Linked DNA regions of Arabidopsis thaliana. The protein of the gene in region 2 binds, or shares a complex with, the protein of the main gene of each other region. Each region holds a gene or a part of one and is shown on either strand. Other genes may lie near its edges.

Evidence for each region. Proteins that work in one complex are often made in the same cells at the same time.
Region 1: PBP1 (region 2) and GLL22 share a complex: the UniProt entries of both Arabidopsis thaliana proteins name them as parts of the PYK10 complex.

The regions. Positions count from the first base shown.
Region 1 is NC_003070.9:20,153,594-20,158,512, reverse strand, and holds GLL22 (GDSL-like Lipase/Acylhydrolase superfamily protein), read left to right. Parts: upstream 1-1,992; 5' UTR 1,993-2,147; coding exon 2,148-2,406; intron 2,407-2,730; coding exon 2,731-2,849; intron 2,850-3,080; coding exon 3,081-3,549; intron 3,550-3,636; coding exon 3,637-3,965; 3' UTR 3,966-4,359; downstream 4,360-4,919.
Region 2 is NC_003074.8:5,577,369-5,581,582, forward strand, and holds PBP1 (PYK10-binding protein 1), read left to right. Parts: upstream 1-1,921; 5' UTR 1,922-2,085; intron 2,086-2,106; exon of another isoform or gene 2,107-2,161; 5' UTR 2,162-2,191; coding exon 2,192-2,392; intron 2,393-2,489; coding exon 2,490-2,933; intron 2,934-3,054; coding exon 3,055-3,306; 3' UTR 3,307-3,664; downstream 3,665-4,214. UniProt on the Arabidopsis thaliana protein: Inhibitor-type lectin that may regulate the correct polymerization of BGLU23/PYK10 upon tissue damage. Activates BGLU21, BGLU22 and BGLU23.

The DNA.
Region 1 (4,919 bases), on a different chromosome or scaffold from region 2:
TCGTGAGCTCATTGTGTATCCTGTTAATGAGCCTATGCGTGAGTTTTGGGAGGATCCAATGGATGAGAATATCATCGTTAGTCCATGACGTCGACGTCGATGCTAGTGAATCTATCTAACTCGTTTAGTTCTTGAGCTCACTATTTTCCATCTCTATACCATGAACGAGCTCTTGGAATTTGAAATGCGCTGTTATTAATTTGTTGAGATTTAAAATAATAATGTAACCTCAACTCTGTTTTTTCCATAAGAAAAATCTCAATGAGTAACGTGATAAACCTGACAATATGAACCAAAGCGTGTCCAATGACCTGCTTTGTGCTCAGATTAGACAAGTTTCGGGCCACATGCACTCCATTAGAACAAAATGATAAATTTTGGTGGAATCAATTTAAGAAGGTAGTGGATTCAATTTGAGACCTTTTTTACCCTCTTTTTTTGTTTGCAATTATTCTTGCAAGGTAATATTCGAAATGATTGGCAACAAAGAAAATAAAAAGTAGAAATTATAAAGTTCCAGAAAAGATAAGTTTATACATCTGGCTTTGGGGCCGGCTATATTTACAGTTAATTTTCATATGAAATAAAACCAAAAATCATATATATAGATAATAGATGAACCAAACAAATGAGGCGTTCTTCATATAAAACTTCATCTTCACGTAAGCAAATGTGTTTTATTTTTATCTAGTTTCTGCACTCTTTTAGAAACAAAATTGTTCACCTTTCTGTCGTTCTAATGATTCCAATCAAATTGATAATTACTAGAACTTACAAACGAATAAGGACCAACTCTTCTGTATTTGATATAGACACTCTCTCAAAACTTAATCTTCTCTAATCTTCACTGTAAATCTTAAGGAACAACTCTCCACAAGTTTTTATAATTTATATATACATAACTAAGCTATTACCTATACTATTAAGATTGTGTCAACGCAAAATTGAGTTATTCTTTCTTATTTAAATTTGAACTATTAAAAATATGTAAATAATTAACGAAAATCTTTGTCAAAACACTATTAAGAAAATAATTTCAAAAATTAACATGATGATAAAATATAGATTGTTAATTGTTTTTTTTAATTGTTTTCAAGTAATTTAATCAATAATATGATGAGGATGATTAAGGAAATTACTATAATTTATCTTTTAAAGAATATCTTAGCATAGGTATGAGTTGTTTTTGCAAAATTTTAATAATTGATTTAAGTTATCTAAACGTTATTAAAATTATTATCCAAATTATCTATAATTATCCGAACATATTCGTCTCTTGTCTATTCTGGTAGTGATATTTTATGTATCTATATTATTCATATATCGTATCAGTATAATCTGACTTATTTAAAAATATCTATTTGATATGTATTTTGATATTAAAAATATTTTAATTCGAGTTGTGTACTCGTAAATTATCCAAAAGTTTTAGCAGAAATAAACATATCTACGTATATGTTGGTGTTGAAATTTTTTTGTTGAATTTGGCTAGTCAGCAAAATTTAGTTTTATGCAAATGGTTACTGCAGAAATTACTGAATCTGGTTTAGTGTTACCATTTACACCCTATATTTCCGTGAAATTTGTATGTTTAATTCTACTTCTTGCCTCTAAATGCACGATCTTTTCAGCACTTCGAAGAGGTTAAAGTGACTTTTACCCGATGAGAAGGGAATTGTGTGGCAGATAGAATTGCTAGGGAATCTCTTTCTTTTCTGAATTATGATCCCAAATTGTATTCTATATTGCCGGATTGGGTTAAAGCTTATGTGTATTCAGACTCTTGTGTAATTGTAAGTTGTTGTTGAACCAAAAAAAAAAAAGCACGATCTTTCTTGGTACTCGTAGTAACAATAGATATTTTGTTGAGAATTAAAAATAAAGTAGAAGAGAAACCAGTAATGCGTCAGACGTGATTAAGCGAACTATATAATATAATTGATCGATAATCGTTTGCTAGTGCGTTAAATAGGTGTATAGTAAAATGAACCTCGCGCTACACGTTATTATTTGTATAGTAAAATGAACTATTATTTTCATTGCCAAATTGTAGTACTTGCAATATAAATATAACGAATCGGTCTACGAGCTAAGGCACAAAAGCAATCTTCTTCTCTTTTCACAGTTCTGTTTCTCCCTCTCTCTAAATGATGGCAAACAACTGTAATTTAGTCAGTGTTCTATGTGTAATTTTGGTATTGACCCTCTTTCACAACCCCATCACTGTCGCCGGACAGAATAGTCCGGTGGTCGCCTTGTTCACCTTTGGTGACTCCAACTTCGACGCCGGAAACAAACAGACTCTCACCAAAACCTTAGTCGCTCAAGGTTTCTGGCCGTACGGAAAATCTCGAGATGATCCCAACGGCAAATTCTCCGACGGCCTCATCACTCCGGACTTCCTCGGTACGACTTCTTTTCTAATCGAATCCTACTCTAATCTTTAAAACATTAAGTATGTTAAAAATAGTATGATTACGTAAAAATAATCATAAACAGTAGTATTTATAAATGCATTTTAAGTATGCTACTAGTGAATTACTTAAAAAATAGTAAATAGTATGATTAAAAAAAAGATTATAAATGCATTGGTTCAGCGGCTATTCACTTTTCGGGACACATTCTATGAAATTTTATTTATTATTTTCGTCAACAGATTCGGAGATGTAGTACAAGGAATGATTTGATATTATATGAAAAACTAAAATATTTTTAAAATACAAAATGCAGCTAAATTCATGAAGATTCCGCTCGCGATCGCGCCGGCGCTTCAACCGAACGTCAATGTCTCACGTGGAGCTAGTTTCGCCGTCGAAGGTGCTACTCTACTCGGAGCTCCGGTGGAATCTGTAAGTAAACTTAATTTCTTATTATATAAGAGTCATGTATATATCTATAGTCAACACCTAATTCAAAGAAAATCAATTATATCTGTCTATTATTGACCCGGTCATACTAAGCGGGATTCTTTTTGTTTTACTTCACAGAAAAGCATGTGACTTAATATCAATAAGCTTTACTTTAATTGCACTTATAATATTGGTTTAATTTTTGTCTTTTTCTCTTTTTTGGTTCTTTAGATGACTCTGAATCAACAAGTGAAAAAATTCAATCAAATGAAAGCAGCAAATTGGAACGATGATTTCGTGGCAAAGTCAGTATTTATGATATACATTGGTGCAAACGATTACTTAAATTTCACCAAGAACAACCCTACCGCTGATGCATCTGCTCAACAAGCTTTTGTTACTTCCGTGACCAACAAGTTAAAGAACGATATTAGCGCGTTGTATTCATCAGGAGCGAGTAAATTCGTGATCCAAACCTTAGCTCCATTGGGTTGCTTACCCATCGTCAGACAAGAATACAACACCGGGATGGATCAATGCTATGAGAAACTCAACGATTTGGCTAAACAACACAACGAAAAAATTGGACCGATGTTGAACGAAATGGCTAGAAACTCTCCTGCATCAGCTCCTTTCCAATTCACCGTCTTTGATTTCTACAATGCCGTTCTTACTAGGACGCAGAGGAACCAAAACTTCCGTGAGTTGGTTAATTATCATGGTTTAATTTCATTTGTTTTAGTTTTATAACTTCTAATACCAAGTCATTAATATTTGTCATTCTTAGGGTTTTTCGTCACGAACGCATCGTGCTGCGGAGTTGGATCTCACGATGCTTATGGTTGCGGTTTACCTAACGTGCATTCGAAGCTATGTGAGTACCAACGGTCTTTCCTATTCTTCGACGGACGTCACAACTCCGAGAAGGCGCAAGAAATGTTTGCCCATCTTCTTTTTGGAGCCGATACAAATGTTGTCCAACCGATGAACGTCCGTGAGCTTACTGTTTACCCAGTCGATGAACCCATGCGTGAATTTTGGGTGCCTCCAACGCCAGCTACTGTCCACGCCAGCGACTCTAGCTCGTCCACTAGCCGCGGTTACGAGTATTACTGAGTCTTTTTAAAACTCAATCTTTAGGGTCAATCAGGTTTTCTACAATGGTCATGAGTTAATTTATAACCGAATCAAAATCGGAATCTTGATGTTTTTGATTTGCAATGTTTTCCTGTTTCTCTAGTGAGTTTTTCTCTATAATAAAAGATTGATCTTATCAACTCTTTCCACGTCCTGGAATTTATCGAGAGTTCATTAGTCTATCGATTTACTCTAATCTATTCGATATCTTATATTCCTTCTGTTCATTTTTGTTTGATTTTTTAGAAAAAACATAAATATTAAGAAAATATATTAAATGTTGCTTTTAAATGTATTGTTTTTTGTGATTTACAATTTTCAATAACTCTAAACCAATGATATTTACTAATTTGTATTGAAGTTTACAATTTATCAATTATAACTAATAACTATTGTATTAAAAATCTAAAAAATCAATATTTTTGAAATAATTTTTTTTCTAAACAATTAAACAAAAAGAAACAGAGTAAGTATAAATTATGTAAAAATATATGACTGATTCGTTTTATGACACCGAATTAAAATAATAAGCTAATTCCTTTTGGTTTCTTTTGACCCAACAATAAGCTAATTATAATTATAAAACGAATATGATAAAGTATCTTTTACCAGCTGGGAAAATATAATACTCCCAAACTGAAAATAAATATCATTACCAGTTGGGATTATTTTATTACAGTAAATACATATAGTGGGCATTAGTGATCTGATTTTGTGGATCATAAGCGACAGGAAAATAAAAATATAATAAGACCAAACAAATCTCATCCGCTAAATCTGGTCATAAGTTTAAGTATTTTTTTTCTATTTAAATAAGAAAAAAATGACGCTAAATCTGGACATAAGTTAAAACATACAAATTGAAATAGTATAATTTAAAAATCTCAATAATTGAAGCAACACACCGATCTTGACTTTATCTCTCCTTTATCT
Region 2 (4,214 bases):
CACTCATGTTAGTGATTCATGTGTGTGTCAGTGTGTGTGTGTGTGTTTTTATCAAGGTCTTCTCTTAAGATTCATAAGTGTGAATCTGGTGGGACTTAATTGGTCTGGTGGAGTAGAACCTATGCGGGCAATGAGGAAGGTTAAGGTAGGCTAACCGAGCCCACTCTCTAAGTGTTTAATTTGTAACCTTAATTCGTAAATAAAAGCTGTTTAATTTGTAACCTTTATTAGATAAAATTTTGTCTTTTTTTTTGTCAAAAGATAAAATGTTGTCAATCATTTTAAAAACAAAGAAAAAAACTTTTTTGGCAAGAATTTATATATTTGCTTGTCATAAATTTTCCATTTTGTAGTATTTTGAAAAAAATATTTTAACGAATGGAAGCAATAACTCGACAAAAAGAGTCAAACTAAAGTACCTTCACATGCAAAACAAAACGTAAATTTGGTATTTTTTTCCCATTAAAAAAAATATATATATATTCTTGGCCTTGTGTGCGAAGACGATCGAGAACGAGAAGAACGATAAGCTCAATACGCACGAACGTAGATCGAAGACTGGAAAGGTATATCTTCATCAAAATATTCATGATTATGGTTGAGTTTAATTTTGTTTACGTATTTGTTTTAATTTTTCAAAAGTCCACTGTTGGCTGGCTGTTGCTATCTTGGAATGATTTTCATATCTCAATAACTATTGTTTACTCTAAGTTAAATTATTGGGGTGCTATTTATGATGACTGATGAAGTGATGGGAACATGATTGCAATATTAAAATCTCTTTTTTATTTATATTAATTATAAGTTTGTACCCACTTCATTTTAAATAGATAATGCCAAGACGTAGGTATATTATTACTGAATTTATTTTTTAATAATAAGTAAATATGCAGGTTTCAACTAGAAAGGTAACACATCAACAAGAAATACCAAAAACCACTAGCTTACATATTTTGATCATATAAGTATTGAATAATATAGTTATAGATGATCAAATAGTTATTATTAATTACTTAGCTAGTGTAATTTCTATCGATTGTTTCACATTCGCAACAGATAATTATATAAATAAATACATACTACATGTTAACCTTTGTTTTTGTTAAATAGGATGTTTTCTTGATTGATGATCTAGATCAACTTTTAATAATTTATACGTACCAGCTTTCATTCGATCGTGCGACTTCTTGGAATATCCCATGGTACATTTGCAGTCGAGCTAGAAAGCTTTTTTGATAATTTATGAATCATATTAAGCGTCTCTCAATTAGATTAATATTTAGTACCAGTGTAAATGATACAATTATAAATCTTTTTACCAACGAATACAGAATTTGTTTTAGAAATATTCTTCGCAAAATTTTATAATATTTCATAAATCAGTTATAAAAAAAAAAAAAGCAGTTTTGAATTCAGAGGAATTCGTAAATTTCCCTAAGAGTTATTAAAACTAGTTGTGATATTTTGGAGTATTCTTTATGGCTAGATCCATATGATCCGGTTCTTGTATCTAGATTTTTTTTACGGAATATTGTATGATATATCTAGTCTCCTCTTTGGTTCTAAACTTCTAATTAATCTTCGGTGATTTGAATTAAACGTTACTGTTTTTAAATTATGATTAAGGCTTTAAAACATGTTCATACAATAATTACCAAATCTTAACCAATTAGACTCTTAATAAGGAGAACGTATATATATGTTGCAACTTGCAACTTTAGCCCTTTACAAATAATTAATCGTACATAATCTAATTGATAAACGATTCTTTAAATTTTAAAACAATGAATTAGCTTGCTGCCATCGTTTAATGGGCCAACGCCAATATAAAGACGATTAGTTGAGAAGTTGTGCAAGTAGAAGTATATGAATATTTTCATTATCTAAAAAAAAAAATGTATATGAACATGCGTTTTTCCCAGTAATGCTTTTTATATAAATATGCCTCGTGGATCACGAAAGAATAAATTATTATTTCCCTTATTATTTCATCTAGTACGATCAATATCAAGAAGTCAATATAAATAAACATACAATTCACTTTAATTGATCATAGCACCGATAACAATCTACTCTCTTTAAAAGGTCTTATCTCTATTCTTCTCTATTATGTAAAAATTGGTTAATAGTAGATATTAACAATTTATTTTTGCAACTACAGAAATTCGTAAGTACTATCAAGAAGCAGAAGATGGCCCAAAAGGTGGAAGCACAAGGAGGGAAAGGAGCCAACCTATGGGACGATGGATCGACACATGACGCCGTGACCAAGATTCAGCTCGCAGCAGGCATAGACGGAATTCAATATGTTCAGTTTGATTATGTCAAGAACGGACAACCCGAACAAGCTCCTCTTCGTGGTACCAAAGGCCGTGTTCTCCCAGCTGATCCGGTTCCTATATTTTCCTTGCCCATTAATCTTCTTCTTTCTATATGTATACTGTTATATTTTGAAGTTTTGACATTTTCATCTTGATCTATTTCTACAGTTTGTGATTAACCATCCAGACGAACATCTAGTTTCTGTAGAAGGTTGGTATAGCCCTGAAGGTATCATTCAAGGAATTAAGTTCATCTCCAACAAGAAGACTTCTGATGTCATTGGATCCGATGAGGGTACTCACTTCACTCTACAAGTTAAAGACAAGAAGATCATTGGCTTTCATGGGTCTGCCGGGGGCAATCTTAATTCTCTTGGGGCTTACTTTGCTCCGTTGACTACTACAACTCCGTTGACTCCTGCCAAGCAGCTAACGGCATTTGGTAGTGATGACGGAACTGTATGGGATGATGGTGCTTACGTTGGGGTTAAGAAGGTGTACGTTGGACAAGCCCAAGATGGAATCTCAGCTGTTAAGTTTGTGTACGACAAAAGCCCTGAGGAGGTCACAGGAGAAGAACATGGAAAGAGTACTCTACTCGGATTCGAAGAGGTATAATACTTTCTTTGCTCTTTTTGTTGAATGTAAAAATTATACATCAGAGAATTCAAATTCTCTTCCGGTTTCCATCATAATGTATTCAATTGTTTTATTTGGTTTCCAATAACTGCAGTTCGTACTTGACTATCCAAGTGAATACATCACCGCAGTCGATGGCACTTATGATAAAATCTTTGGGAGTGATGGCTCAGTCATAACTATGCTCAGGTTCAAGACTAATAAGCAAACGTCTCCTCCCTTTGGACTTGAAGCTGGCACAGTCTTCGAACTCAAAGAGGAAGGCCACAAGATCGTTGGTTTCCATGGAAGAGCCGATGTTCTGCTCCACAAAATTGGAGTCCATGTTCGTCCTTTATCCAACTGATGATGGAGCTCTTTATCCTTGATTCCATGCATCTAATAAGTTATCAAATCTATCTTCTAAATTTCTCATATGAGGTCTCTTCATGCCTCTGGTGAATGGTGATCTTTGATAAGTGTTTTACGCGTTGTCTCTTGCGATGTTGTTTTTTCTTTGTTCTTCTTGTGCTCTATTTTAATAAAGGAAGTTTGTTCCAATCTGATCTTTAGTTTCCCTATATGTTCTATAATACTTACTTTTGCCATTATTTGGTTCTGATACTAATTTTACTTGCTATAATTCAAACTAAAATCTCAACGTATGAATTGTACAATTTAAAATGCAAATGTTAACTTTTTTGGATCAAATATATAGTTGTTCGTATTTTCTCAGTAAAAAAATCCTGCACAAAGTTTTTATCTAGAATGTGTGACCATATTGAAGTTTTTGGCCTTCTCCAAACATAAAAAGTTATTAGTTAAAAGTATATGAGTTGGCCAAAAAATACGAACCGGTTCTTGTTTCTAGATTGAGCGTTACAGAAAATTGTATTATATATATACTCTTGGTTCTAATTTCTCTTAGGTGATTTCAATTATACTTTTACTGTTTGAAATAATGTACAATGCTGTGGAAACATGTTCTTACAAGACTTATCAAATCGTCAACCAATTAGAGTCCTAAAAAGGGGGTCACTAATTGTAGAATTCTGACTTATATAAATTGCAACTTGCACCCTTTACAAGTAATAACGTATATAATAAAATTGACGACTCTGTGAATTTTAAAAGAACTAATTAGCTTGCTGCCATCGTTTCATTGGCCAACACCAATATAAAGACGATTAGTTGAGAAGCTGTGGAAGTAAAAAAGGAGTATATGAATATTTGAACATGTATTTCTTCCGGTAATGTTTTAAATATGCCTCGTGG